4 linked regions of the Lonchura striata genome follow. The protein of the gene in region 4 binds, or shares a complex with, the protein of the main gene of each other region. Links are inferred from orthologs where the notes say so. Each region holds a gene or a part of one and is shown on either strand. Other genes may lie near its edges.

Region 1 (6,993 bases), on a different chromosome or scaffold from region 4:
GCTTTACCTTCTCTCTTTTCTAGGCAGACTTCTTTTTCCCTTTAACCTAGAGAGATGGCATTAGTTCTCATTTATACATATTACTGAATATTTGTATAACCCTGGCATTACATTCTGTGCCATACAGAATAGAAATACAGAACAGTTTGACTGGGGACTTAGCACTAACAAATATGTAAAGATTTGTAGTGAACAGACATCTCCTGTAAAGTGAATCAAATGAAATTTTGTCTATGTAATTTAGAACATCTAAGGGCGACTATGCTCACTGTAACCCAAAAGTCCACTCACAGGAGAGGAAGATGAAGTGCTAAAGCCTGAGCCACTTTGATACTTGGTGTTTGTTAGGTCACTGTACTGAGTTCTCCCTCCGGGGGGGTTTGATACAGAACTGAGCCAGTGACACTTCTTCTGCCTGCTTGTATGTTTTGGCTGCTACTGCCCTTCCATGAATCTGCAGTCTGCTAGCTTTATCTGTTTGTGACATTCCAGGATTGTTTTCAGATTTTTGAACCCAGGAAAAAGGAAAACTGAAATGTGACAGAGACACTGTGTAGAAATGGAAGGGACTAGGGGGTCCTCACTTCTTAAGAGGCAAACATATGTAGTGGAATTTCTTGCAACTAACAGCTTCCTATAATCATTGCAGTGGAAAGTCAATCTTTGAAAAGGAAGCTTGAACGATTCTGCCAAAAACATCACAACAAAGTTTTCCAAGTTTCCAAAATATGACGGAAAACATCCTTCGGGGTCAACAACTTGAACTGCAAGCCCTTCCCAGGGCTGTGACCAGAAACACAGAAAGATGGATGCATTCCAAGAGAGGCTGCTGGGATCCGAAGCAGCACGGGAAGACGCCCCAGGCGAGCAGCTGTGGCGTGGGGCGCGTCATTGTCGCAGAGCGGGTGGTGCTGCCATGGCCCGGGCACAGCTCAGCTCCTGGCTGCTCCTGTGTGTGTTTGCTGCATCCCAGAGGCTGGCAGGTAGGGAGCACATCTGTTAGCGACATGGCCCCTTGGCTTGGCAAACCTTTGTGCAATGCCATTTGTGTGATGCTTTGCTGCTCCTCCAAATGCTGCTCCTCCAAATGCCTGGCCCGAGGCCTCAGGCAGCTGCACTGGCATGGGATAGAGCTGGAGTCCAGCTGGGGGGGTTTTGCACTGGTACATCCTTGCAGGTTGAAGACCTGCTGCTGTGTTTGGTGGCAAGGGGAGGATTTTCTTGGGTCTCCGCTGAAAAAATAATCTCCTGCAATACTGTTTGTGGATTTTCTATATGCTTTTTTGGAAACAAAACCCCACCCAACCCTGTTGAGTGATAAAATAAGTAAGAATTTTCCCTTCCCCAGGGAATACTTACGTTTTTATTCCAATACATTATCTGTTGTGCTTTGTTACATTTTTCTCTATTCAAAAATCTTCCACTGTGTATATTTATGAGGCAGTAACTAATAAGGGCAGTTTGGCACCTATTCAGCAGATGCACTGACTTTGCAGCTGGTCAGACATTTCTCAGGAGAGGGTTCTGTGAGGTGGGAGCATCGGTTACTAGAGACAATACCAAGCAAATAAATTTTCAGATGATATAATGCTTTCACCTGAGCTAAAAGCCTTGCTGGTACATCTGTGGAGGACTAGAAAAAAGAAGCTACATCCCTGCTCACATTCCAAAGCCACAGCTGGCTTGGATCACAGAGCTTGCAGCTGTGCAGAGAAACAAACACTGCAGGCTGCCGGCTGGCAGTGCACTTCTCCAGAAGCTCGTGCATCTCCCTGAAAAGGTCTAATCAAAAATGAGGATTTGGAAGTGTTTTTTGGTAGCAGTCATCACACGTGTGTAGTACTAAATAATTTTTCTACTTTTTATATGCTCCTGCTGACTTTAACTCTGGTATTCAATGTAAATCCTTACTTTTTTTTTTAATATATGTATGAAAAAGCTTTCATCCATTTAAAAATGAAAAAAAAAAAAAGCCCATAAATATATTGGAGAGCTTACTATTTTATATGAGCTTTTTCCATTTCATATTTCTTAACCTGAGGGATGAGCCTCTAAGAAGTAGAAGAGGGTCTTGGCTACCTCATGACACAGAGGAGGGAGGGGATGCAGCCTCTCTTTCACAGTCCTGGACCAAGACTGCTTATGTCTCCTTTTTCATACACACAAAGAAAGAAATAGATGCGACAGTTAAAGCACTGTAAGTATTAGGAAATGAAAAATGAACAATTCTTAGGATTAATGTGACTTTCATATTCAAAAACTGCCATTCCTCTGGCCTCATATCCATTTTCCTCAGTTTTACATGATGTCATATGTCCCAGCAAGTAATTAGCTGGACATCAAATGAGCCATAATGGATCTGGCAAGGATTCTTTTATCCTCACACTCTTCCAGCAGCAGAAGCTTAAGGAAGAAGTAGATAACCAGGATAAGCATCAGTTTCTGTTTCTAGCAGCATCTTGAGGAGCCTGCCAGCACCCTCCTTTCACTGGGCAGCATTACTTTCTCCAGCAATAACTGCTAACCAGCCAAACCCCATTGGCTCAAACCCCATCCATTCTCGGTGTGAGAGTCTTCCTTGCTGCCTGTCAAAGCAGTGCCTTGCTGCTGTATGCTTTAGCTCTGCTGGCAGCACTGAGGGCTGTGATATCCAAAACCTCGCCTCAACCACTGCTTCTCTTAAAAAGCTTGTTTTGCTTATCAAAATCCCGTGGTCAGCATCTGTCATATTTGGCAAGCTGAGTGGTAGCTCAGGAATGTTGAAGATGTTATTGACAATCAAATGGCAAAACCAGTAAACATGAAGGTCTTGTGCTACCAAGCTCTGTCTGATGTTTTCCAGATGAACATCCTCACAGCGGCACCAACAGAGCCCGTCGTGGCCCAGAGGACGCTGGCATCATGTTAGAGGTCTCCTGAGCACTGGGGGCTCTGGGCCGAGGCGCTGTTAGTGCCCACGCTCCCACCTGCCTGCACGTAAAAACTCACCTGTTCTGTTTGTTCTCATCCCTGCCGGATTTCAGGACCCCCGGAGAACGCCTCGGCGATGCCCAATGGCATTTGTGCCCCCTGGCACTGCGGGGCGCAGCCCACGGCGGCTGTGCCCGCGCCGGGACAAGGGACCGGCCCCGCTGGGCTTGGAGGCGGCCGCACCGGGGAGCGGCTGCGGCGGGGCTGCGGGGGGACGGCGGGGCGGGAGGCGGAGCTGCACAGCGGGGAAACGGGCTGTGGGGATGCTCGGAACCGGGCTGTAGGGATGCTCGGAACCGGGCTGTGGGGCTGGCAGAGAAGGACGCGCACTGGGTCCCTCACGGCCCCGCCGACCCGCCCGAGGTGTGCTCGGCGGCGCTGCGTTGGGCTTTGCCCGCAGCGCGTCCGGCAGCGGTGCAGCTGTGCGGGGCTTTCCGTGACAGCGCTGCCCCTCTCTTCCAGATGCTCTGGGGAAGGCTGGATATCCAGACCAACGGGACAATCCGGCTGCGGGATGAAGAGCTGGCCTCCCTACGCCCGGCACGGCGCCTCCTGCAGGTTTTAGAGGAGGAAGTTCCCAAAACACCGGCAGAGATTGAGCAGCACCTGAGATACTATTCACTGACCGACGCTCCCTTGCCTCCGACAGAGTTCGACCGTCTCCTTTTCACCAGTGTTTACAGTGCCTATCAGGTTCGCTCCATGCAGGGTCTGGATAAATCCCCCTGGATTGGCTTTTTCTCTCAGCTGGTTGATGAAATCTTCCGTGACCTGTGCAAGGGGCTCTGCCCTGCAAATACCACTCTCCTCCAGGCTTCCTGGCCTTGGAAGGAGAAGCCTTCACATTTAGCATCCCTGAAACATTTCTATCGCTCTAACCTGGCCAGGACCAAGAGAGACACCTAAAGAGGGAACCCCCGTAGGAAAGGGCACACCTGGCTTCAGCTGCCTCCTTGGTTATTTTCAATGCTTTCCACAGTGTGCAGGACTTTCAATAAATATGCCACACCCTTTTGTCCTGCTTTCTGCACTGTGCTGACAACCCCCTCAGGATTTATGCGCAAGCTTTTATTTTTAAATGAAAAAAGGACAAAAGTGCATTTCTCCCTTTTCTGATTTTTTGCTAAGTGAGCTGTGCTGAATGGGGCAGTGCTATTTAGATGTCTTATCTATCTTGATCACTGATGCTCAGGAGAGATGGCTTGGAAGTATTTTTCTAAGATATTATGCTGGTGTCACAGCTGACTTCCTTTCAGATAATTCAGTTCACTCTCCTTATATTCTCACTGTGGTTTCAGACAAATACAAGATCTTTTCTCCTCTCCAGTAGCAGCTAAGCAGGTTTTGTTGTGTTTCATTATATAGGTCACATATTTAATTTAATTTTTCTCCTCATGTGGCATCATATTTTATGTGTCAACAGCAATTTCCCATATCACGTATTAATTTTTCTTTAAAAGGCAACCTGAAAAGGTATGTATTCCATGAAGCTTTCTAGTGTTTGCATATCATATTTACACATATACACAGCTTTGTTTCAGTTATCATTTTGGAATATACTTCCTGAAATCTCATTTAAATTCTGAAGAATCCTGACCTAGTTATTTCTTCAGCAGATTTTGCCTTTCTTCTATAAAGTTTTTTTTTTTTTGTACAGCTGTGGCATTTTACAAGCCAAACATAATAAACACATAGTCTCTATCAGAAATATAATTATTTTACAAAAAGACATCATTAACATTTGTCTGTCTTAAACACTGTGGTGTGGAATTAGATAAATGTAATTGTCTCCTCAGGAGGGTTTTGATTTTGATTCTTGTTGTTTCTAGCAGATTTCCTGCTGCACCTATAGGTACATAAATTTCAAACGTTCATTGCATGTGCTTAGACAATGGGATCCATAATTCCCTTTCTATCAATATAATTTTTCCATGTTAGACAAAAGAGGCATGTGTGACCTTCAGAGTGGGAACTGCTAGTTTCTGACCTAGTTAATCTTATTCCAAGCCATTGTAGCCCAACAGATGGAGAGGGAAAATGGTAAGGCAGGAACAAGAAGCCTGGAAGCAAGATGCTCCAGACAATGGCTTTAGAGGTCAGCTAAGGGTTTTGACAGGAGGTAGATTTAAAGCAGGTTGTTTGTTGTTGGATTTTTGTTTTGTGTGCTTGTTTCATTTTGGTTTGTGTTTTGGGGTTCTTTTTGTTTGTGTCTTTCTTTTTCACCCCAAATGGTATATTAATTAAAATTAGAATTTAATTGAAGTAAAACTTCTTGTCTTACCTTATGCTGGTTTTTTACATACTTCAAATCTTTACTCTTCATCCTTTTCCCAAATATGCCCCAGTCTTTAATGCCTAGGACATGTATGGAGTGACAGAGGCAGTGAGTTTGAGCAGAGTATCATCAAAAGGCTGAGCTGAGATGGCAGTGGTGCATAAAAATACTGTATTGCTGGAGAAAATACAGCCTGAGCCATACAAATATATGGAAAAACGCGGAGTGGGTTGGCTTGTGACTCAGATGCCAACACACTGCTTTGAACTCGGGATTTTGTTAGGAGCAGTTTTAGAGCATTGCTGCCTGTTGAACGGATTATAAAGTACACTGAAGTGATGCCATGAAGCTGTGTACATGCTTAGGATGGTGCACGTTTGCAGTTTATGTATTTTTGGGATACAACCTGGGGTTTAGCTCAACTGAAACAGCAGCAGTGGTGCTACAATGAAGTCTCCTGTCCTCCCACTACCTCCTCAGCGGATCCCGCTGGCTGCCCACCCCTGTTTGTCAGACTGTAGGAACACAACAGTGCCCACTGCAGCCACAGCAGCCTCTCCACAGGGCAAACTCTCGGTGGAACTCCGTACGTACAAAACCACTGGAAATGGATGCTGGACACATCACCCACGGTTCCTCTGACCCCGCCTGCAGGAGGCTATCAGTGCAGCACGTGGTGGGCCAGCAACACCCTTGTGTTCAAGGGGCTCATTTCTGGGGAAGGTAACGCCCCTGGGGTCAGCAGAACCACTGCTGGGGTGGTACTACTCACACTTGGTGTTATGAGGCCTGCTCCTGATCCTAATCTTTAGAGATTTAAAGACAGATTTCTTATTCTTCTTACTTACCTTGCTTCTGGGCTTTCAGAGCATGTTCCATTCACAGATTTGAGCCCTTATCTTTCACTATAAGATGCCTGCTCTTTTGTTTGCTTCTAAATGTATTCTTTACATTAAATGAAAGTTGAGATTCTCAACCACACCTTCTTGACTTCATCTACATCAGATAAAGAAAAGCACAAACCACTGTGAAACTTGCAATAAAATCATAAGAGGTACCATCCCTTCACACACACAAGTGATTAAAGAGTGTACACAGACAGACTGGCTCAGTAACACATCCTCAGCTCACACAATTACCATGCTTCTCTCTCACCTGAGTTGATACCTCAGCCAATGACAAGCACACAAGTCTCACAAAGTAGCATAAATTCCAAACTGAGAACATTCTCATCTTTTGTATTTTTATTACATTCCTTTTCATTACACTTATTCCCTCCCTGGATAAATAAGGAAAGTCACCACACCCTTTTCTCTCTGGATGCTGGAGATCTGCAGTATCATGACTGCAGTAGTTCTCTGGTCCTCAGCATCTCACTACAGTGCCCCACCCCTGCCCCAAAACTACCTCATGCTTTTATGTTAACTCAAACACCAACACGGGACACACAGCTACAACCCCAAAGGCCTCTCTAGGGACGAATGGCACACACAGCAGTGGCCCTGCTGACAGGGCACAAGTGTGCAGCGTAAGGAAAGCACTGGACACATGACAGCATGCTCAAAGCAGAAGATGATATTCAGAGAAGCTATACTCAAGTTCATGGCACCTTGGCTCTTCTTATGCTCCTTTCACATCTGCATTTAATTGTTTGACCCTTGAGGTGAGCTGGCACCTGGAAGCCACTTTGGCTGAGCCTCTGAATAGATGAGGAAGCCTGTGAAGGTGATGTACTTGCCATGGTTGCT
Region 2 (7,926 bases), on a different chromosome or scaffold from region 4:
CCAACAACCCAAACTTATCTCCCTGGACATTCAATTTATTTAATCTAGTTTTAACTAATTTAAAAAAACAAACAAACCAAAACCAAACTTTAAATACTACTTTTGTGCACTTTTAATCAAAATCCAATTTCCATCCAAGGGCAGCTTCATACAAATCACAAGTAAAAACACATCTAAAGAAGTGAGTCATTCACTATTTTAAACATAATAAAAGGTCAGAATTTAGACCTGAACAACTGTAAGCCAAACTACACAAGCCTTGGTGTGTGGAGATAGCAATCCTCCCAGCTAGCAACACACTGCCCAGCTCAGACACTTCAACACTTGGTTACTATGAGGGATATTCTGAGTTACAAACCAACCAGTTTCAAACTTAACATACCAGATAACAGCAAGGGGGAATGTGAGTAGTAAAACTGATTAGAATCAATTATGCAAATCAACACACCTAGCCAATAGATCTCAAAGATAGAAAAGAAAGAAGAAAAAAGGAGTTGGAAGCTCTAGATCCTTGAGTAATGTATCAAATTTACATCCTTGGCAGCGAGAAAGAAATAGGTAATTGATGAAGCAGTTCCAGACTTGGAAGTTTTCCTCTCTTCTAAAGCCATCAAAGGTGTCTTTGACAGCACAGTAGTCCAGAAAATTGAGGACATCAAGGAGATTCTAATAAGGCAACAATGTGAAATTTTACTAAAAACAAGGAAAGGTTTACTCCCACAAGGTTATCTTCAAAATGACTATTCACTTGAAAACTACTACTATTTTCCATATATATCGTGCTTGGGAGGCGAGTTACAACTTTGAAGTAGGTGAGTTTTCTGAAGCTACACAGAAACTAGAGACTAGAAGTGTCAGACTCCATGTTAAAAACATGCTTGGTCACAATGCACTCCTGTTTTTCTGCTCCTAAAGGAAGTTACACACTAAAGGAAACACCTGCTTAGAAAGAAAATTAGCATTTATGACATGATAAACCAACAGCTTAAATTGGCAACTGGACTTCTACACTGGGCACAGGTAGTTTCCATCCCCAAGGGTGTTTCTGTTTTGTGGAAGACTTGACCTGTTTTGGAAAATTAAACTGAAAAAAAGTGGGCCACTGATGTCTCAGTAATATCCAGTCATGTATCCTATATATACAATTTTCTTTTTCTCTGAACTATAGTACATTAATGAAGCTAGTCTGTTTTATGTAACAACTTAAATTCCAGTTTAAAAGCATGTGCCATTTTTTTATTCACTATATGATACTTAACTATAAATTTATGCATTTCTACATGAAGAAATTAATTAGTCATTAATCTAGCTTAATTAATTGTAAGTTAGTTCCTGAAAGGTTAAGTCTTATAATGGATATCATACTCATGCATATAAAATTTATTCTCAAAGCACTACAGTCCAAGAAAACTAAACCAAGAAAAAGAAATTTTAGCATTTGCACCAATTCTGGTCTGTTTCATAATCACATGACCAAAACAAAAAAGCCTGCTTCAACAAAGGAAAAAACAACAACAACCATCTGTCTAAAATGTAGTCAAAAATATTAAATAAGCAGCAACATCCTTTCTTCCTCTTTGGACTGTTCCTGAAAGACACTACTTACACATCTTTGAGTATAAAGGACCTCTCTATTTGACACACAAAAACAATTTGGAAAAAGGTGTGACACCTATACTCAAATTGTGAGACTAGGTGATGTATATATTTAGTAGATATACCTGATGTAGACGTTTAGTATTTAATGTAATTAAATTAAACACTAAAAAATAACTATTCCTCCAGATAGATTTATGAGAAATTAAACTATACTAAGTGTGCATTCTAATAATCTCTGAAATACCTCATCTGAACAAAATTCATGTAGCTACAGCCCTAGGTGAACTTCTAACAGCACACAGGCTTTCAGGCCCGTTATGACCACAAGGCAGATGTACATGATGTAGAAAAGCCAAGTTGGGGCTTTGCAATAAAACCTCTAAAAATGCACACGCTAAGTACAGCACAAATCCATTTCTAAATAATAACTGAAGTTATTTCGAAAGCAGTAGGTATGTATCCCGTTTCATAGCAGAAATAATGGTAAACGCCGGGAAAATGTGACTAACGTCAAAGCGATACTACGTGTTTACTTAGTCCGGAAAAGCTTACTAAGAATTATGTGACTCTTTAAAGCTACATACGAGCACGGCAGCCCACGCCTGGTCACTGCAGGTATCCATAGTGTACGTATGCACAACCAGACGGATCAGTAGGGACAGCTACAAGGAAGGGCAATGCCGCTACACTGCTGCTCTCCGAGACTTCACACGCGCGTCCCTCCGAGCGCTGCCAACACAAACACCCGATTTCAGACATCCCCGCCTCGCCCCGACCCCGTCACACGGCGCGGCCGCGGCCCCTCCCGCCTGCGGGACGCGGCGATGCTGGACCAGGGGCGAGGGAACACATTTCTTCCCTCTCCCCGATGCTCAGGTGCGCCGTCCCGTCCCTCCGCAGCCCTGAGCCCTTTCCTGCTTCCCCAAGAAGGAAGGGGGCACCTTCCCGTTCCTCCAGCACCGCCACACTCCGGGCTTAACGATGCCGACGGCCTCTCCGCCTCAGGGAGCCGGCCGTGCCCGGGGGCGCGGAGACGGCCCCCGCCGCCACCTCCGGCGGTGCCCGGCGGGCCCGCGGCCGGCCGGGGGGAGCGGTGCCGCAGAGCCCCCGCGGGCGGCCCCGGGACCCAGGCCTCCTCGGGCGGCCGCTCCCCGCGCGGGGCCGGGAGAGGGCCCGGCGGCTGCGGCGCGCGGGAGCGCCGCCACCAGCGCCATCCTTCCCCCTCCCGCCCCTCCGCTCGGACAAACCTCCGACCGCCGCTTCCTCTCGCGCCCGGCCGTCCCGACCGCGGGCGCCCGCGGGGAAGCGGTGGGGGAGGAAGAGGATGCGGCGGCGGATCCCGTCTCTCTCCCGGGCTGCGGAGGCGGCGGCGGCCCCTGGGCGCGCAGGCGCTGCTGCCGTTGCCGCCGCCCCCCCACCTCTTCCTCCCCCTCCCCCTCCTCGCCCGCCCGCCGTTACGGAGCGCCGCGCCCGCCCCGTCTGCGCATGCGAGGCGCGAGGCGCGGGGGGGCGGCCGGGCCCGCCCCCGGGTTCCTGTCCCTTCTGCCGCCCGCGAGCGCCCCCTGCCCGCGCGCCCCGGCAGCGGCGCCCCCCGCGGGACGGGGCGGGGCCCCGCGCCCCCTGCCGGAGCAGCGGCCCCAGAGCCGCGGAATCCAGCGGCTCGGGAGAGACGCCGGCACCTCCGGCGGCGACCGGCAACGGAGCCGGGCACCGAGTGCCGTGCAGTCAGACACCTCCCGGGACGGTGACTCCGCCACCGCCCTGGGCAGCCCGCCCCAAAGTCTAATCGCTCCTTCTGTGAAGAAATTCCTCCTAATGTCCAACTAAACCCCCCCTGGCGAAACTTGATGCCGTTTCCTCTCATCCTGTCTCTGGTAGCCGGGGAGAAGAGCCCGACCCCCGCCCGGCCACACTCCCCGTTCAGGGAGCTGTAGAGAGCCATGCAGTCCGCCCTGAGCCCCCTTTTCTCCTTTTCCAACAACGCCAGCTCCTCACAGGACCTGCGCTCCAGACTTGCTGCAGCCTGGAGGCCCCTGGGCTTCAGGGTTAACACCCAGCTCGGACCTCTCCCCCGGGAGGCCTTTGGTCCTTCAGCCCTCCTGGAATCCTAGAATGTCCTTCGGCCAAGTGTGGGTTTGCTGCCCTAAAAGCATAGTTCACCTGACATTTGGGAGGACTGGAGCTTACTCTGGGATGGAAGGAATTGACAGGATTACAGGAGGCTGAGGGAGGTATCAGAGAAACGAAAATCTTGAGAACACGCATCTTTTTAAAAGCCATCCAGTGTTATTTATTTTCTTTATTTCTCTTTGGGTCCACCCACCAATAGAAAGCCTGGAAAGTGCCTTCAAAGAGGTGAAAGTATCATGGATGCAGAGCAGAGCTGGGGATTTAAAACACACAAGTAATAGAGCCATGGAATGTTAAAGGTTAGAAGGGACCTTAAAGACCATCAAGCTCCAACCTCCCTGCCACAGGCATGGACACCCTCCTCCCACTATGTCAGGTTGCTCAAAGCCCCATCTAACATGGCCTTGAACACTTCCATTCAACAACGTCCTCAGGCAGCGTGCTCCAGAGCCTCACCACCCTCACAATCGAGAATTTATTTCCTACTAATATCTAGCCTAAATTTCCCATCTCCCTTTGTACCCATTGCTTGCTGTCCTGTCACTACAAGTCATACAAAGTGCAAGAGCTGCTGTCAGTGGAAAGGACAAGCTTTGGCTGGGAAGACCTGCAAGGAATGGATCAGTAACCCTTCCCAAACTTTATTGTTTGTGTTTTGGTACAAAGGACAGATTTAGTCTGAATGTTATATAAAGAAAAACCACATCAGTTTTGGGAACTTCCCAACACAGGAATACAAAGAATCTCTAAGCATCCATACCACTTTGTTTTTCCCTAACCACTCACCAGCCTGCATAGCACATGCACTGTGCTTTCCTCTCCTTTCACCTGACCCTGTACCAGTAGTCTCTCATTTGGAGATGTGCAATTCCAGAGCAGCAGCTCAGAGTCTCACCTCCTGTAAAAAGGCAGGGTAGAGTCAAAATGCAGCTTCACATTTCAAAACTTCCCATGACACTGTATGGAAATAAGTGCTTCTTCTGTTCATGTGGAAATAACATTACATTTGTCAGCCCCCTCAGCCATGTTAGGATGGAAGAGCATTGCTCCTTTTACTCAGTACTAAACAACTGGTAAACCTTGAAAACAAATGTAAACTTGGCCTTGTGTTTTCTGATTTTTTTCCCCTGAAAGAAGTGTTTTTAACTGCAGTTTGAATCAAAAGATTAGGAACATTTCCCTTATTTTTCTTTTCCTAAAATAAAAAAGTAATTTCCAACATTATAAAAGGGAAATACAAGATTTACTTAGAGATGCAGCTTAAACATCTGCAAGATGAGATAGCCAGCTTTCTGTACAACAGCTGAAGGCTTCTACGACTATTCCTATCCTTGTGTTTTGATTTTCCTCCCACACAAGGATGGAAAAACGCCCCCTGCATCACTGTTAAATGAGCCTCAGGTGGGAGGAGGAGTGGACAAGTAGCAGCTGCCTGCCATAAAGAGGACGTGGTTAGTTTTTTTTTTGCTGGGCTGTAAGTGGTGGCGGCAGCAGCAGCAGCAGCAGCAGCAGCAGCAGCAGCAGCAGCAGCAGCAGCAGCAGCAGCATTGGACATTAGGTTTTGGGGCTATAAGGGGGAGGAATAGCTTAGTTCTTGTAGGGGGTTTTGTTTGGTGCTTATTTTTTTTTTTTTTTGTGGTTTTTTTCCCCTTCTCTGCACCATTCTATTTCTCAAAGGTCGAAGTAATTCTTTGGCCTGAGGGAGTCTGTAGGCTTTTTGGTGCTTTCAAGAGCTGCACAGGCCACCCTACATGGAAACTGAAGAGGGCTCCAGTCTTTCTAAGGCATTCTGAAACTCTAGGCTGAACCGTGTGCGAACTTGTAACAGGTCTCTAAATAGTTTTCTTGTTTTCTTTTGCTTTTTTTTTTTTTTTTTGGAACTTCAAAGTGCTTGAGTTTTCTAAAGAATTAAGCTTCTGTGTTCTCTGATTTTTTTATAGTCTTGCTTATAAGCTTTGTGTGATAGTGTTGTATTGCTTGCAAGTATTTGTTAACTGAGGAGACATCTAAGTGTGGGAGGAAGTTCTGTCTTGTGAATTTTATATGGCTCTGAATGCAAACTTACACATAAGGATTTTGGTGGGGTTGTTTTTGCTACCTATCATTTGGTTTAAGCGTAGGAAGCAGGGTGTCACTGAAATACTTGGTTTACTACATTAGTTAGCTGTCATTCTTAAGTATAGTATAAAGTACAAATCCTGAATTAATGGAGTTCTTATTGTACTGTGTAATAACATATGCATTAGCATTACGAAGCGTTTTCTTCATGAAGACATTAAATATCTGATTGTGTGAAGCTTTTTTTTTCCTCTGTGTGTGTGTGGTCTCTTGCTCAAGGCTAATTCAGTGAAGGCTTTTTTATTTAATTGGCTGGGATACTGCTTATAGAGAGGCATGCATCTAAGACTACTGAAGTTCTGTAGCTTTAGAGCATGTTGCAAGGTTGCCTTGAAGGACTAATATTGAGAGCTGTGTACAAAAGCTTGCTTAGCAAAGCCCAACTGAAATATTTGACCTTGATAGCATGTCAGTTTGTTGCCTTCTGTTTGGAAGACAGCAGCTTTCTTTTGGAAGGACAGCTTTCTTCTGTTTTCTTTGGGCAGGGAGAGGAATGTCTGATAATGCTGACAGAGCATAAAAATAATTAAGTCATGCAGTTGATAATGATTACTTCTCTCTTTCAGTGTTTAAAGAAGAATGAGTACTGCCTCAACTTCAGAAAGTGGATCATATTCCACAAACCACCCAGGACTCTTTTTTTATGCACAGTCATCAGCTCAACAGCCTTATCCAAATCCATGGTACTTCAGTCATGCATACAGTCCATACTGCGTACCTGCTCCAGGTAAGGTAAACAGCAGCTCTCTGTGGGATCTTTGCTTACTTAGTTACATACTTCTTTCCTCACTCTTGCAGTATCTGTGTTAATGAGCCTCTTGAGATTTTAACTAATACTTAATAAATCAGATTTTTGACAACTGTAGCTCTACATTAATTCTGCCTTAAATATGTAGCTTGTGTAGTGGAAAGCATCTGCTTCTGGAGAATGGAAGCTAAGCAAAATACTAAGTAATGGTCATCCTGCAGACACAGAGCTCCAGAATATACTTGGCAATTCATATTTGTGGGTATAGATGAATTCCACATGTGCATGCATGATAGGTATGGATAAATGTAAGCTTAAGAAAATAAGAAAAGTATTGTTAAATACAGTTTGCAAGTGCTATACCTATGTGAACTTCTATCTTAAGCTGTATTTTTCAAAATTAATGCTATATCAATAGTCTGTGAAATAGCCAAAAAAGCACAGAAAACAACTTGTTGAATGTTCCAAGGGATTAACTCAAGCTATGGTTAAAGTGTAGATGTTGAGGTAAGCTATTCTCCAACAAAGAACTCTTTCTGATTTTGCACCAGATTTGCTTCTAAGCGTTGGAAGGTGGTGTGTCTTATTTACAGATGTTTCTGATCTTGTCCCTGTCAATGCAAGTAAATGTGATTCAGGATGACTTATTTCAGAAAGATGATATTTGTCTTTTCTTTTTGTCACCAATGTCTAGGCTTTCGAAGTGGAAATCCATATTTTCCATTTTATCCTGTTGCGCTCCATGAGTACCCTAGATTTTTTGTTCCACGGCATCCCGTGCATACAAGAATTAACAGAAGGCCTTATTTTAATGCTGCCCCACCTTCCCCTGTGTTTTATCATGCAACAAGATTTAGACATTATAGTGGCCCTGGGAAGAAAGTGGAGACAAAAGAAACACAGACTGATCCTAGACAGCCTGAAAGCAAGCAAAAAGGGCATCAAGATATTCGTGCAGAAACAAAAGGTCGTAATGCAGGAAATACAACCTGTGTTTCTCCTAGTACAGGTACAGAGACTGAAAGTACTTCAGAGAAACAAGATTCATTTGGCTCTTCTATTGTGGTAGACAGAGAGTTTCATAATAAGAACCCTGCCAGCCCTACACAGTATAGAAATCTTCCTACTGGAAGTTATGCCTTTGAGAAGAAAGAAGTGAGGATAGAATATGGAAATGGCTCTCCAGCTATTCAGCTGTGGAAGTCCTTTAAAGAAACAATCCCATTGTATGATGTGGCAAGTGGTAAACCAGTTCCAGAGAACATAGTGCCACATGACTTATTTTCTGTCAGCTCATGTGAAGGCATGATATATGGCCCTCATGAAGGGGA
Region 3 (7,459 bases), on a different chromosome or scaffold from region 4:
CTGCCTGATCATTGAGGAACAATGCCAGCATCTCCCTGGCCTTGTGTATGAGCTGTGATTTGCCATCGTGGTCCTGAAGGGATTTCCCATGGACTAAGGCCCAGGAGGTCCTGACTGCAGTGCTGGCCAGGGCCTCAGAGCTCTCCTGTCCACACCACACCAGACGGATCCTCATTGCACTTCATCCTGTAGCTGCATTGCCTGCATTTGATCTGTGTCATTGCTACCAACAGAATAAAGATTCTGGCTTTTTGGTTACAGTCCAGTTTCAAAAAATAAACAGCAAAAGCAAAAATCAACTCAGCTGTCATTCTTGGATGGACAGGATCAAATTCCAAACCAGACCTGCCAGGTTCTACATTTCCTTTGGCCCCTTTTACAGCCCATGTTTGAATTCTGGGCTGAGAAAAAGGAGAGTCATCTTCTTAAAACAGCACCATAGAGGTTAATGAAGGGACAGGAAATGGAACAGTTTCCCCCCATACACACATTTGAGCTGTTCATGCAAATAAATCACAAAAAAAAAAAACCACTGGAAGAAGAGACCTTCTAGGAAGGAATCTGATGCCACTGATCCCCCAAGCTGCCTGTCCAAGAAAAGGGTTGCCCCTTCCTGCCAGGGCGCTGTCCCTTGGCATAGGAGGGAGCCCCAAGTCTCATTTGCACTTGGATGATGCCAAATGACAGAACTCCCCTATGCTCAGGCCTGTGGAAGCAGCAGCAGATCACACAGAGGCCAGCAGCACTGAGGCTGACTCCTATGGAGTCTTAGGATATCTAAGATTGATCTATACGGACAAATGGGCAGGTATAGTATCACATTGAATTTAAAACACAGGGCCATTTACTTTTCAGACTCTTCACACAGACTCCCTCCTCCTCCCCTCCTTCTTCGGGAGGAGGAGGAGTTTTCTAGCACAGAGAAGATTTGCAGTTTCCCAATGGGATGAGAAAACCTACTTGGCAAAGGTATAGTACATCACCCAGTCATCGTAACCAGACAAAACTCCACTGAGCTCAGAGAGCTTCGTCTGTCCCTCGAGACAGTCTCTCGCCCAGTTCTGCCCAGTCGGCCGCTCCCAGCTCCGGCTGCCCGTGGCTCGGTGATTCCTCATTCCCAGGCCACAGGCCGGCTGGGCAGCCCTCCCACCTGAGCAGCAGCAGTTCAGGGGAGCCCTCCCCGGCCTCCCGGCCGGGCCCCACGGCTCACCCACCCGCGCAGCGCACCGGCACGTGCCTCCCCCCTAGTCCAGAAAGCGCCTGCGCGAGCCCGTCCGGGAGCGGTTCGAACGGCGAATGTCAAACTTGGAGTCCCGGCACTTCTGGCAGATGTAGACCTCTGGGACATTCGACTTGCGGATTTTGGCGCAGGAAAGGTGGATCCAAGTGTGGCACTCGTTGCACTCGATCATCGGCCGCCCAGCGAAAGGCTTCATGCAGAAGCAAGTGACCAGGTCCCACGAATCATCATCTGCAAAGACAAATATCAAAGATACATTTTTAGCGGCTGATGCCTCTCACACCAGGAATTTTCTCTCCTTTCATGCTAAATTAACTTCAAAGATAGGCATTTTGCTGCTGTTTCTCTTGCACAAGAAGAGACTCTCAGCAGTACACAGGAGGCCGTAATCGAGGAGATGCTGCTTCTATAAAGTTGCAGCTTTTCACTCAGTTTATTGCAGAAAGAGCCAGCCCACCTTCCTCCTCCCAAAAATCCAACTGCTCCTGAACTCCACCCAGGCAGTGCTCCTCTGCAGTATCCTCAGGCTACAAGTAAAGCATCATTACTTCCACCTGGCTAATCCTCTTGGACAGCCATGTCACCTACCTGAATCCACCATGATGTCCTCATCATCACCAGTGCCATCCTCATCCCGAAAGACCACCTGCTTGCCCTGCCGAATGACCGTTCGTTTGCCCACGCTCTGGATCTCCACCGTCTGCTCGGCCGTCACAGCAGGGTAGGAGACGCTGGACGGGGTGTCAGAGTCCCACACTGAGCAGTGCTCAGTCACAGACTGAGGGTCACCCTCTGACGAGGGGCTCATCGGCGTCTCTGTGTAAGAGTCCTCTGCCTCCAGATCCAGCAGCTTCTCCTCATAGTCCTCCTCTGCAGACACCTCTGTTTCCCTCCTTTTCAGCTTTTTCTTCTTCCTGATCTTATCGATTTGCTTTCGCTCTGGCAGGAAGTTGCTGGTCTTTGCCCGCTGGAACAGGGAACCATACGGTTTTGTTCGCTTAAGCTGACTAAAGTTCTTTCTGTTCTTGGTGGGCAGGGAGACAGAGGAGGGGGTGTCATTGAAGCGGGGATCCCAGCTATCACTGTCAATCGTGCCTCCAGTACTGTTGGGAGGGCTGGGGCTGTTCCTCAGCGGCGTTTCCTGGAACACGTTGAAGAAGCAGGTAACAGTTTGACTCTGAGCAGACTTGTGTGTGGTGCAAGGCACTGCACCCTGTCCCACAGAGCACTCTGACTCATCCCTGAGATGCTGTGCCCTGTCCCCTAGTGGTGTCCCCTGTCCCCACGGGATGAGCCCCTTCCCCCGGGTACTGTCCCCTGTCCCCCAGGGCATTCTGACCCATCCCTGAGATGCTGTGCCCTGTCCCCTAGAGTGGTGTCCCCTGTCCCCACAGGCTGAGACCCTTCCCCTGGGTACCGTCCCCTGTCCCTGAAGCACTGTGCCTTGTCCCCTGAGCTGCTGTACTCTGTCCCCTGGGGAGCAGTGCCTTGTGCCCCAGAGTGCTGTGCCCTGACCCCGGGGGAGCTGAGCGCTGTCCCTGAAGCACTGTGCTCTGTCCCCGGTTCCCAAGCCGCTGAGCCGTCCCTCGAGGCGCTGCCGCTCCCGCTCTCCCTACCACCACCCCGCGGTTTCTCGGGCAGCTCCCGGGCGCGGGGAGCAGCAGGAGCGATGCCGGATCCGACGTTTTTCACCCCGCCCACGCCGGGCACCACCCGCCCCGTCCCCAGAGCCTCCGGCCGCCGCGGTTCCCCTTTTGTTCAGCCCGGCGCGGGGCCGTGACCGCTGGAGCGGCCGGTCTGACAGACCGGCCCGGTGCCCCCCGTGCCCCCAGCCCGGCGCCCCGCCCGGTGCCCCCCGGTGGAACTCACCTCCTGCGGGTACGGGATGTAGCCGGCGTAGGCCAAGACGAAGGTGCAGAACTTATTGAAGTCCTCCACGGTGCGGTGCCGCCGGGAGCCGGGGGAGAAGTCCTGCGGGGGGCGGGGGTGAGCGGCGGCCGCGGCGCCGGGCCCGCCGGGGGGAGGCGGCGCCGCCGCTCCCGCCGCGCCCCGCGCCGCCCCCCCGCCCCCGCAGCGGCGGAACCGGGCAGTGCCCCCCCCCATCGCCCCCCGGTGTCGGCACCGGGCCCCCAGGCAGCCTCCCCGGGGAGGGCACGGCGGGGCGGCGCCGCCGCCATTCCTCGCCCCGGCGGCACAAGATGGCCCCGGCCCCCCGCCCCGCGGCGGGGAACGGACAGCGGGCACCGGCGGCCGGACGGGGCCGGGCCGGGCCGGGCCGGGTGGCGGGACACGCACCCCCTCCCCTTCTGTTCCCTCCCCGCTTCTCCCTTCCCTTCCTTTTTCCCCCCGCGACTCCGGCTCACCTCCGGGGCAAACGGCGAAGCGCAGGAGTCGGAGTCCATGTCCCGGCGGGGGCGCGGGCGGGGCCGGGCGGCGGCGGCGGCAGCCGGGCAGCGCCGACACCGCGAGCGGCTCGGTGCCGGCGGGAGGCGGCGAAGGGGCGGCCGCCCGCGCGGGGCCGCCGGGAGCCGTAGTCCGGGCGTGCGCAGTGCCGGGCGCGGGGCGCGCTGGGAGCGGCGGAGGGGCGGGGGCGCTGCCGGTGCCGGGAGCGGCGAACGGAGCGGGAAGCGGAGCGCGGAGCAGGGCGGAGAGCGGATCGGTGAGTGGGGCCCGGGAGTGGCTCCTACCGGGTGGTTGTGGGCCCAAGCGGGAGGGGCCGGCCCTGGCTGGCGGCGGTGGCAGGACGGGCAGGGCGCCGAAGCGCCTACCGCGAGCCGGACCCTCAGCCCCGAGGCGGACCCTCCGCCCGGGCTAACGGCGGTACCCGAGCGGACTCGGAGCGGAGCTGCCTCAGCGCCGTCTGCGCTCGGGCCGCTCTTGTGCTCCCCCGGTACCATTGGGCGGCTCCTAAGCGCCGGCCCAGGGCCAAGGGCGCGGGGCTGGGCGCGGTAGCTGCGGGGCCCTGGGACCGGCCCGAGCGGGGCCGCGCTGCCAGCGCCGCCGCCTGACGCTACGGCCGCTCCCGGCTGGGGCGGGCTCCCCGAGCCCACCGCCGCCTCCTTGCCTGATCCAGGTGCGCTCCCGCAGGCACGGCATGGCGACAAGCACCGGCGGGACGGCAGCGGGAGCCTCAAGCACGGCGGCGGCGGCGGGAGAACCGGCACACGCGGTGTCGCTGCTGCGGGGTCTGAGCGCGCTGCGGGCCGAGCGGAGCCTGCTGGACGTGACGGTGGTGGCCGGCGGGCGAGAGTTCGGGGCTCACCGCGCCGTCCTGGCCGCTGCCTCGGGATACTTCCGCGCCATGTTCGGCGGGGCCCTGCGCGAGTCGCGGGCCGAGCGTGTGCGGCTGCACGGCGTCGAGCCCGAGTGCCTGGGGCGGCTGCTCGACTTCGCCTACACCGGCCGCGTGGGCCGGCTGGGCCCCGACATCGCCGAGCGGCTGCTGCGCGCCGCCGACCTGCTGCAGTTCCCCGCTGTCAAGGAGGCCTGCGGTGCCTGGCTGGCGCGGCAGCTGGAGCCCGCCAACGCCCTGGACATGCAGGACTTCGCCGAGGCCTTTGCCTGCCCGGAGCTGGCGGCTGCCGCCCACCGCTTCGTGCTGCGGCACGTGGGCGAGCTGGGCGCCCAGCTGGAGCGGCTGCCGCTGCAGCGCCTCCTCTCCTACCTGCGGGACGATGGGCTCTGCGTCCCCAAGGAGGAGGCTGCCTTTCAGCTGGCACTGCGCTGGGTGCGCGCTGACCCTGCCACCCGTGCCCCGCTGCTGCCACAGCTCCTGGCCCACGTCCGCCTGCCCTTTGTGCGCCGCTTCTACCTGCTGGCCCACGTGGAGAGCGAGCCGCTGGTGGCCCGCTGCCCTCCCTGCCTGCGCCTTCTGCGTGAGGCCCGCGACTTCCAGGCTGCCCGCCTCGACCGCCACGACCGGGGGCCCTGTGCCCGCATGCGCCCTCGGCCCTCCACTGGCCTCGCCGAAATCCTTGTCCTTGTTGGTGGCTGCGACCGTGACTGCGATGAACTTGTCACCGTCGACTGCTACAACCCACGCACTGGCCACTGGCGCTACCTGGCCGAGTTCCCCGAGCACCTGGGAGGGGGCTACAGTGTCACTGCACTGGGCAACGACATCTATGTCACAGGTAAGGCATACAGAGAATGAGAAGCACCAGGGTGGAGGGTTCTGTTGAAAATATGTAGGTTGTAGCCACAACATTTGGCTTTTCCTGGGTAGCAGAGCGTTTGGGTCTTGGCTTGGGTGCCTGCAGCCTGCCAGTAGGCATGGAGACTCCTGGAGTCGGTGCTGGATTTAGCAGTTGGTCTCAGTCCAGGAGCTATTTTGTCATGACTAATGCTGTTGAGCATGCTGGCAGAAGTCACAGATCTTGTAGTTAGAACTTTTTAACCGTCACTGAGGACAGGGGTGATGTAAGAAGGTTTTGAGTTTCGGTCTTTGAAGAAGGTGTTCAGATTCAGAGCCCCCTGAATCACATGCTTGAGGCTGAGGCATGTCAGAAAACCCCAGGTTCTTTCACCAGCCCCTGTGAGTCACGGTACCTTCCCCTGCACAAATCCTGCCTCCTTGCTGGGGTACAATTACTTCTGTCAAGGTGACACCAATATGTAAATTTGGCTGATAAGCTGTATGCAGATCCCTCCTTTGAACTACATCTCTGTGACAGCTATAACAAACTGAGGCCCAGGACACTGAGTGCTGTGGAGCAGCCTGCCCTCGGTGTGCAGGACACACTGGCACACCTTTGAAGAGCAAGTCTTAATGCAGGTGAACAGAAAACTGTGTGTTCTCTAGTCACAAGCAGAAAACAAGGACCTGCTTTAAGGACAGCATTGTAAAAATGACAGGCTACCACATGGATGCAGCATGTTTTTACAGAAGCCCTTACATCCTGTGGGAGCTTTCTGGAGTGATCCCAGGCAGATCAGTCCTGCTGGGAGCTGTGTACAGGCTGCTGCTGGGGATCTTGGGTTGGTTTGGGCTGTGTCAGTGTGACAAAGGCAAGGCTGGGAGATTCCCAAGCTACCAGCAGCACCACTGCCTTGGCAGCTTCTGGGCAGTGACTGAGGGGGGACTGTAAAATGGTAGAGAAGTGGGTATGAGAGGACAGAGGTAGTGAAACATGGAAGACTCATTTTGAGTCTCAGCTATGTATGGACTAGGAATGACATGGGAGAAATCCTCCCTGGCTTGCTGGGAATGAAACAGTGCAAAACTTCTCTTAAAATCCTTGTGGCACTTGTGCTGAGCCAAGCCCTCTCCTCCATCACCCTTCCCTTTGTGGAGCCAGGATTTTGACATGTGTCATGCTGTGCCACAGGGGGCTCGGATGGGTCCAGGCTGTACGACTGTGTCTGGAGGTACAATTCCAGTGTGAATGAGTGGACAGAGGTGTCGCCCATGCTGAAAGCCAGGGAATACCACAGCTCCACGGTCCTGGACGGGCTGCTCTACGTGGTTGCCTCTGACAGCACGGAGCGCTATGACCACACACTGGACAGCTGGGAGGCCCTGCAGCCCATGCTGTATCCCATGGACAACTGCTCCACCACCTCGTGCCGTGGGAAACTCTTCGCCATCGGCTCCCTGGCTGGCAAAGAGTCCATGGTCATGCAGTGCTACGACCCCGACAGTGATCTCTGGTCCCTTGTCAACTGCGGCCACCTGCCCCCCTGGTCCTTTGCCCCAAAGACCGTCACGCTCAATGGTCTCATGTACTTCATACGGTGAGTAGTGGGAGCAATCACTTCCCTCCCTCCCCATGTCCCCATGAGGAGAGCCCACAGCTTCCCTGGGAAGGTGGATTTTGTGGATTTTGCAGGTAGTGGACGAAGGGCACTGGGTTGGGACAGCACAGCAGTGCTTCCCCTGATGGTGCAGGGAGGGCTGTAACACTTCTTTCCTTGAGTTGCTGGGCTTCAAAGAGCTGCCCATAAACTTGTGTGAAAATGTCTGAGTGTAACCCAGGGCTGGAGAACAGACACGTGTAAATCCATCTGAAGTCAGCAGCACTGCCTGGAAATTGGCTTCTCGGTTTCTTCAGCTCCTGGTTCAGTCCCCCTTGTTGCTATAAATAAACACATAAGCTCCAAGAAAACGTTAAACTCTAGTGCAGGAGAGGACGTCTTCTGTCTCAGCAGAGATAAGAGGGCTGAAGATGAAGTGATTGGTCACTATTTTTAAGCACCTTTCCAAATTGGGACTTAATTACC
Region 4 (8,077 bases):
TTGTTTTCCTCCTTGTCTTGCCACTCCACAGCCTTTCACTGCACCCCCAGGCCTCTCAACCACCCCTATCATGTCAAAAAAGACCCCAAACAAAACAAAAAATAAAACCCAACAGTGCTCATTGTTAAAGCAAACAAAACATTTTGTATGTTTTTCCAGAGAAGGAAAAAAAAACCCAACTCCAAACTTACAGATCTACCTGAAATGCAAGTAAGCTTTATTACAGTGAATTATACCTCTGCCTAAACTCCTCTGAAATAGTGATTGAGCAAGATAAAAACAAGTTTTTTCTTCATCCAGGACATACACAAAAGGAAAAAAAAGTCTCTAAATGGATAGAGAAATAATAATGTGAAATGTTTTTGCCTTGAAATTGTTCTGTTTCTTCAAAGAGAAATGTAATAGTGTCCTGGTAAATCATATTGATTGAATATTGATCCTGTTTCTACAGGAAGCTATCGTCCCTGTACCTAGTGAAATCTAGGAACCCTGTACACAAATCAGTCAGTTGGTTGTGATTTGCAGGGAAGGAATTACGGCATTACAGGTATACATTTATCAGGTTGTCCCAAGCTTTTTTTTTTTTGCAACCATCACATGCAAAGTGACGCAGGCACTTACAGAAAAAAATGAAAAAAAAAATTAGGATTTGGGGTGGGAAAAGCCCTCCTCCTGAATCTGGGCTTTACAGGGAGGGATCTCACTTTTTCCCACCACATAAGGATTTTTTTTCTATCTTACAGTGAGTTCAAGCCCTGAAATGTTTGTCCCTGAGTTTGCAGTCAGGCATTTAGGTGCTCTGCAGACCAGGATGTGGTCATTCTGCATTCTTCTGTGTTAGAAATACTTTTTTTCTTTATGCTTTTGTACTTCAGTACCTCACCCCTGGATAAGGAAAACCTGAGAATAAGCCTGTATGATTCCTTGGAAAGGATGGTTACTTAAAAACAAAAAAAAAATCACAGTGCCTGGCTTTGGTGAAGCACAATTAAGCCTTACCAAGCAGAAAGTCACGATTTGAAATAAAAAAATCATATTTGAACAGGTATATATTGAATATTTCTCTAGAAGTTAACACAAGCTATGTTCTGCCTAAAAGCCTAATTATAAAAATGTAAATTTAGATCAATTCCAATATAATGTGCTCTTTACATTCTTCTAAAATTTCTGATGACTTTCACATGATTACGATTATATGTTAAGATATAAATCAGATTATAAACCCAGTATTTAAATAAAGATTTTCTGTGACCCTCAAGACACACAGGTCAATGCAAAGAGCCATCCCTCTGGTGCTGACAGCAAGGTGGTGATGTGTTACTCAGGTGGAGATATTCTGTGTGGACTGGCAGACACCTAAGCAATGTCCCCTGTCATTTTAGTGAGACCATCAGTATCTAAAATCAAAGGACTGATAGGATTTCAGGGAAAAAAAACTTATTAGGATAATGCAGAGCTCTTCTCTGCACTAGGGTAAATGATACTGGGGGTGTTCATAGCTCTGCATGTTGTGGTTGCTGTAAGCTGGGTTTAAGGCTGCTCAATGCTCAGATGTGAAATTTCCAACAAGGCTTACCCTCCTGTGCATAAGAAGCATTCCCTCATGGCTGGACCACAGAGGGACGTGAGATGTTTGGGACACAGCTGGGGTGACCTGGGTAAGCCACAGGGTGCATCACGCTTCCTGTGCCGATCCGTCCTCCTCCACCTGCCTGTCTTCCTTCTGGTTTGACCCACCTGGAATTAACATTATAAGCACTTAACACACATCTCAATTAGTTCTCTGTAAGCTCAAAGGGTAACTTTTAGTGAAACCTCATTTTGTACATTATGTATGGAAATAGAAAATTTGCACTAAAAAATTGTAATTGTCTGCACCTCGGACAGCCACAGAACAGACCTCAGACATGAAAGGAGGAGCTCCAGAGGAATCTGTGTTAGCAGATGTGACAGATTGGGTCATAAATCTGCACCAGATTTATGAGCCAAAAGAAGGCTCAGGTTCCAAATTCAGCATTTAGTAATAAAATTAGAGCTATCATTACACTTGTGCTAGTGTGTGGTAGCTAAACTCATGTGTAAAAGAAAGCTATTTAATGTGAGAATTGAAATTACTTGGTAGGAGCATAATTTTATTTTTTGTTGGGCGTTATGTGCCAGTCTGAATAGTGTCTGAGGGTGAGTCAGTACTCTTCCACTTTTAGATAAAAAAATGTGCATTAAGGGCAACTTAGAAGGCAAAGAGGCTGGTTATCCAGGGCTGCCATAAGCATAAGGCCAGTGGCAGGAAGCACTGAAGCAATCATTATAGAAGTTAATCCAGAGCCATCTGCAGTAATAGGGAATGGTAAAAGTTTTTTTTCTTCTTTCTTGAAAGAAGAAATGACAGTTCCTCATAAATGGATTCTGGGGAAAGTTTTGGGTATTGAAAAGTGCACTAAATTTGTTGAAGAGTGCTTTTGCAATATTTTCAAAATGAAAACTCTGTGTTTTAGTATAAATTTACTTTTACTTTAGTTCTGCAAACTGTTTTTACAAGAGTTGAACATCTTTGAGTGATTTTATCCTAACTGTTATGGACTGGGAAAAACCCTGTATTAACATAAGAGGTTGTCCTCATTTGGCAAAGAAAATACTTAGGAGGAGAAATGACATTGAAATTATATTGAAACAATGTGTAAACCATATTCTTCATATTAACAACCGGTAATCTTTCCCTTCTCATCTCATCTTTGTTTGATCTGCATTTTGACTATACTGTAATTTTGAAAAGGACTGGTTCCTATTGCATAGTCATGTTGCAATCATTGTTTATTGTGTTGCTCTTATATAACACCTACTCTAGGCGTATATACTTAATTCTGATCAGGAGATTAAAAAATTATGCCATATATGAACATGCATAGTCCCAATAGGAACCATCTCCAAGGACAAAACTGGTGAAATCCTTGGTATAGAAGGTTAACTCAGAGAAGGAACGTTGCATATTTGTGCCCTGCAAATATGTGCAGTATACAGGCATCTGTAGGAAAACACTAATGAGGGAGGCATGTGGAGCAGGATGCAAAATGTGTATCACACAATGCCATGGTAGTCAGAGTTCAGTTCAAGAGTCACCTGAAAGAAATTATCTTCCTGGCTATGCCACCTCCTTCCTTAGAGGGATCTTGAGCAAGACATGTTTTGATGCACATTTCAACTTCAAAACACACTAACTTTTCAGTCAGCCCCCTGGCATCTCAGACATAGATTTTTTTCTGGCTGACCAGCCTAACTTCCAGAAGTGCCCCTCTGATAACTCACAGAATTAGACATTTTCTAACCATTCGACAGCAACTGCCCTTTTCTGAACGACCTATATTTAACTCCGGGCATGTGTAAGCATTGCCTCAGGTGGCATCCTCATTTCCCAAGCATGCACTGCAATGCAGCCACAGAGCATTGCTGAATACCCTTGGCACTGCACAGCCACGGAGCATCACTGAGTATCCCTGGAACTGCACAGAGCATCGCTGAGTATCCCTGGCACTGCACAGACACAGAGCATCTTTGACTATCCCTGGCACTGCACAGACACAGAGCATCGCTGAGTATCCCTGGCACTGCACAGACACAGAGCATCTTTGACTATCCCTGGCACTGCACACAGAGTACCGCTGAGTATCCCTGGCACTGCACAGACACAGAGCATCGCTGAGTATCCCTGGCACTGCACAGACACAGAGCATCTTTGACTATCCCTGGCACTGCACAGACACAGAGCATCTTTGACTATCCCTGGCACTGCACAGACACAGAGCATCGCTGAGTATCCCTGGCACTGCACAGACACAGAGCATCTTTGACTATCCCTGGCACTGCACAGACACAGAGCATCACTGAATACCGCTGCCGTGCATCACGGCACTCTGCGGCGGGACCCGCCTGCCGCTGGCACGATTCACGGGGGCAGCACTGGGATGTTTCCAAGGGCAAGGACCAGGAAAAGGGGCGCAGTGCCAGGCTGCCAGCAGGCACCAGGCAGGGGCAGCTGCTGCCCGGCCGGGGCCGTGCCCCGTGTGCCCGCGGGGCTGCAGCAGCTGCGAGGCCCACTGGCACAACCCTGTAGTGGCACCAAAACCTGCACTTTAAACCTAATGAAACAACTGCCACAAGCCCGACAAGTGGGGTGTTGACCAGGTGGTGGAGTCGCCATTCCTGGAGGTGTTTAAGAGGCGTCTGGGTCTGGCGCTGGGTGATGTGGTTCAGTGGCTTACGGGTGTCGGGGCAGCGCTGAGAGGACGGTTGGACTGCATGATCTTAAAGCTCTCTGCCAGCCCCGAGGACGCCGCGATGCCGCGATGCCGCGATGCGCTGACCCCGCGGCCCCGGCGGCGCTCCGAACCCGCCCGGGCACCCGCGGCCCCGCCGCCCCTCACGGGACGCGCCGCCCGCCCGCCTTGGCCCCGCCCCCCCGCGCGGCGCTGCTTTCCGCCAATCAGCGGCGCCCTCCCCGCCCGCGCGCCTTCCCCGCCCTCCACTCCCCGCCCGCCGCGGCCGTGTCGGCCCGCCGGAGACGGGACGTCTCGCGAGAGCGGCGGAAACCTCGCGAGAGCTGGGAGGCCCCTCTCCGCCCCCGCCCCCGGCCCTCCCGCCGCCCCCGCCCCACCGCGGCCGGATCCGAGCGAGCCGGGCGGTGGGAGGGGAGGGAAGGAAGGGAAGGAGAGCGAGGGAAGGAAGAGAAGGGAAGGAAGGGAAGGGGGGGCGCACGGCCCTGCGCAGTGAGCGATGTTTGTCCGCCATCGCGGCGGAGGCTGAAGGAAGCGCCGCCAGCGGAGCGAGGGGCCCGCGCCGCCGCCTCTGCCGCCCGGCCCGACCCGGTCGGCCCGGCCTCCGCGCCCCCGGGGGCCGCACTCGCAGCGAAGGTCGCCAGCGGCCTCCCCCGGGCCCGTTCCCGGGCCCACCGCCCCGCCGCGCGTCCCCCGGCTCTGCCGCCCCGCGCCGGAGGCGCCGCCGGACCCGAAGATGTCGAACCTGAGCAAGGGGACGGGCAGCCGGAAGGACACCAAGATGCGGATCCGCGCCTTCCCCGTGAGTACCGGGCCTGGGCCGGCCCGAGCGGCCTCCGCAGGCCCCGGCGCCGTGCGGGCCGCGCCGTGCGCCGGGGCCGCGGGTGCGAGCGGGGCGGGGGAGCTGTCAGCCGGCACCCCGGGGCCGTGCGGGCCGGGGGGAGCTGTCAGCCGGCACCCCGGGGCCGTGCGGGCCGGGGGGAGCTGTCAGCCGGCACCCCGGGGCCGTGCGGGCCGGGGGGAGCTGTCAGCCGGCACCCCGGGGCCGTGCGGGCCGGGGGGAGCTGTCAGCCGGCACCCCGGGGCCGTGCGGAAGGCGCTTCTCAGGGAAGTGGTGCCGCACGGAGAGTGGGAGGCGGAGGAACTGGTCCCCCCTGCGATTATCGCTTCCCTCATCAAACAGATCAATTATGAAAATCCACGTACGGCAGTGGGGACCGATTTCTTTGTTTTCAAGGAAAAAGCGTCAAAGAGGGAGCCGAAGGTTATGCGCCTTCGTCAACAAAATTAGTTGGCTCCGGAAGGTGTGGGGGGGAATATTTATTTACATCTCTGCAGAGTTTCCTCTTGCTGTATTTATCTCTTCGCTCCGTAGAAGAGGCTCTAAGTCGTATGATAATAAAATGTAGGTGGCACAATGCCAGCTGTTCAGAAGGTGTTACTATAAGCATGTAGGCATAGGTAACTTGCTGCAGGTTCGGTAGAGTCGTGAGTGTGCCTTCTCTTTGAGTTACAGAGGGGAAGGAGCCAGATTATTAATTTGAAGTGCTGTAACGCTGCTGTGTTTTGACAGTCGGTTCAATTAAAGCTTACAACAGAATAACAACTACAGCACGAGTAATGGCGTTGTGGAACGAGAGGAATAGGAAAGGTTCAGTCTGCTGGAGGATGACCAGGAAGCGTGTGTGTGTTCAGCGCGGTGTATGTTAAAAAGAAGATACTTAGCTGAGTCTCTGCCTTTTAAGCATTAGCGTTGGCTTTTCAGGTTTGGTGTGAACTTTTCAATGCCATGTCTGATCCCAGTAGGCAGTGGTGTAGAACTAATGTGCTCTGCCTTTTTAGAGAAACTGGACATACCTGTTTATCTCATTTCACTGGCAAGGCATGTATCAATATATTTGCTTCATCCAAACTCTTGCTGATGAAATTAGAAGATTCTTTATAGGCTCAGCAGCCAACTTTATAGCAGTCTGAGTTAGGCTGTTTTACTCTTTCCTCTACTTTTAATCACTGATAGTTGCATTTAGTGGTAAAAGTAAAAAGAAAAAAGTGGGCTATGAGATTAGGAATTTTAGCTGATGATAGGTTTTTCATCTCCATATTTCATTTATTTCTTTAAAAAGCCTTTTCCAAGAACGTCAGTTTTGGATTAGAGGAATAAAGGAGAAGACTTCCTGCCATGTGGCCACAGTTTTATTAACAAGTAGTAGGAAAACCTGTACAAAAATAAGCCGTGACAAAAGCAATGTATGTGTTTTGTAACAAACGGCAGCAACTAAGATAGCAGCCTTTTCATTTGATAAACAGATTCATTTATTCCAGCTGTGAATATGACAATGCGATAAACTGAAGTTTGCGTATTTCACCTCTTCTGTATGTGAAATTTGTTTTGCAGGGGTGAGAAATGCTCTAATGGAGCCCTGTTCTTACATAAAGTTAAACATTATCAAGTTTTTTTAAACTATTTTTATTAGCGTTGTCTTTCTTTTCAGTTGCTTAAAGAATATCTAGGTTAATATGTGAAAAACAAAGTGTCTTCTTCCTAAAATAACTCAATAAGTCACAAGTCATCAAGGCCTGCAACTATATGGGGACATGTGTTGATAGCAGCTTTGCAGGTGTCCCCTCCGATATTTTTTTTTTTTACTTAAGACATTTTGTTGACAATCCTATTGATAAAGTGCTTATAGAAAAGAAGCATGTACTTTGAGAGATTTTGGGGGGTTTCCCTTTGTTAATTGCAGAAGTCAGCAGGTGTAGTTGATGTAAAAATCTTAACACGCATTTTGTGTATGCCTAAGTGGTTGTGAAGCTTGGTCCAGGAAATGACTTAGTGTTGGTGACTGCAGTGGGATTGTTTGTGTCAATGAGGGGCATTTTCATGGGGAGTAGAGTCTATGTTTAGAAAATGTGCTACTCATGCAGCAGCTATGGATCCTCACTCCTTTGTCCAAATGTGGTGGTTCTGCTCTTTGGCTCTCAATTAAGAGTGCTTCCAGAGGTGGTTTTGTAGGCTGCTTCAATTTGTCTTCTTATTGATCATCTTTCCTCAGGAGGTCTTTCTGTTGTAGATTAGTTTCCTTCTTGCATGGGGGTAGCTCTTTACTATTACATTAGGCTAGAAATAGCCAAATTGGAATGGTGGTGTTCCTGGAGCATAGCAATATTAACATAACTTCCTTCAAGCAAGTTCTGTTTTTTAAAATATTTTACATTTTTATAATGTATTTCATGCTTCTGTTATTATGTTTTATAATAGCTAAAGGAATTGAGAAATAATAATTTGCCAAACATTGCCTAAGCTTACCTTTTCTACCATACAAAAAATTTGTTAGAAGTGGACCAAAACCTGGAAAAGCACCAGTCTTCTACCTGGACATCTTGATACTTAGGAATTAGTTTTATTCTAGATTTCTTTTTTATTATTCTTGTAATTGGTGCCAGATTATCTGTCATCCCAAGTATCCATTAAGATTTGCTAGATCCTGGTGTGCACTGTGATGTGCTTTTTCTTACCTCAGGGGCAATGGCGCGGGTTACACTGTTTTACTTGTACACAAGTGGGTTTTACAGTAATCAAAATGAACTGAGATGTATGTTTAACCAGTTGCTCTTTTCCTAATTTATAAATTATCTTACTATAAAGAACTTTGCATTCTCTTGTTCTTCCTGACGTAAAGATGGTGATAAGCTTTTCATCAGAGGTAGTCCAGATGAGGATGCATTCTTTGAGACTTCAGATTTGAGTATATTTCAAACCTAGGAAGAGTATTTCTGAGAGAGTTTGTTGTATACTGAGGAAAGCAAAC

What was found.
Region 1: CUL3 (region 4) and KBTBD4 share a complex: the UniProt entries of both Homo sapiens proteins name them as parts of the BCR(KBTBD4) E3 ubiquitin ligase complex. The link is inferred for Lonchura striata from reciprocal best matches to the Homo sapiens genes CUL3 and KBTBD4.
Region 2: CUL3 (region 4) and KBTBD2 share a complex: the UniProt entries of both Homo sapiens proteins name them as parts of the BCR(KBTBD2) E3 ubiquitin ligase complex. The link is inferred for Lonchura striata from reciprocal best matches to the Homo sapiens genes CUL3 and KBTBD2.
Region 3: CUL3 (region 4) and KLHL21 share a complex: the UniProt entries of both Homo sapiens proteins name them as parts of the BCR(KLHL21) E3 ubiquitin ligase complex. The link is inferred for Lonchura striata from reciprocal best matches to the Homo sapiens genes CUL3 and KLHL21.

The regions. Positions count from the first base shown.
Region 1 is NC_134608.1:39,478,808-39,485,800, forward strand, and holds the start of KBTBD4 (kelch repeat and BTB domain-containing protein 4), read right to left. Parts: upstream 3,136-6,993; 5' UTR 3,008-3,135; coding exon 2,989-3,007; intron 2,911-2,988; coding exon of another isoform or gene 2,843-2,910; intron 984-2,842; coding exon of another isoform or gene 917-983; exon of another isoform or gene 854-916; intron 1-853. Other genes in the region: protein FAM180B, read left to right, coding at 917-983, 2,843-2,910, 3,433-3,876; C1QTNF4 (complement C1q tumor necrosis factor-related protein 4), read right to left, coding at 6,889-6,993. UniProt on the Homo sapiens protein: Substrate-specific adapter of a BCR (BTB-CUL3-RBX1) E3 ubiquitin ligase complex which targets CoREST corepressor complex components RCOR1, KDM1A/LSD1 and HDAC2 for proteasomal degradation.
Region 2 is NC_134603.1:111,258,346-111,266,271, reverse strand, and holds the start of KBTBD2 (kelch repeat and BTB domain-containing protein 2), read right to left. Parts: upstream 3,001-7,926; 5' UTR 2,847-3,000; intron 2,329-2,846; 5' UTR 2,184-2,328; intron 1-2,183. Other genes in the region: uncharacterized protein LOC144246033, read left to right, coding at 6,427-6,574, 7,290-7,926. UniProt on the Homo sapiens protein: Substrate-specific adapter of a BCR (BTB-CUL3-RBX1) E3 ubiquitin ligase complex that acts as a regulator of the insulin signaling pathway, modulating insulin sensitivity by limiting PIK3R1/p85alpha abundance in adipocytes.
Region 3 is NC_134626.1:4,242,112-4,249,570, reverse strand, and holds the start of KLHL21 (kelch-like protein 21), read left to right. Parts: upstream 1-4,327; 5' UTR 4,328-4,334; coding exon 4,335-5,373; intron 5,374-6,567; coding exon 6,568-6,973; intron 6,974-7,459. Other genes in the region: PHF13 (PHD finger protein 13), read right to left, coding at 1,245-1,471, 1,829-2,381, 3,110-3,211, 3,604-3,642. UniProt on the Homo sapiens protein: Substrate-specific adapter of a BCR (BTB-CUL3-RBX1) E3 ubiquitin-protein ligase complex required for efficient chromosome alignment and cytokinesis.
Region 4 is NC_134612.1:9,625,954-9,634,030, reverse strand, and holds the start of CUL3 (cullin-3), read left to right. Parts: upstream 1-4,925; 5' UTR 4,926-5,004; coding exon 5,005-5,070; intron 5,071-8,077. UniProt on the Homo sapiens protein: Core component of multiple cullin-RING-based BCR (BTB-CUL3-RBX1) E3 ubiquitin-protein ligase complexes which mediate the ubiquitination and subsequent proteasomal degradation of target proteins.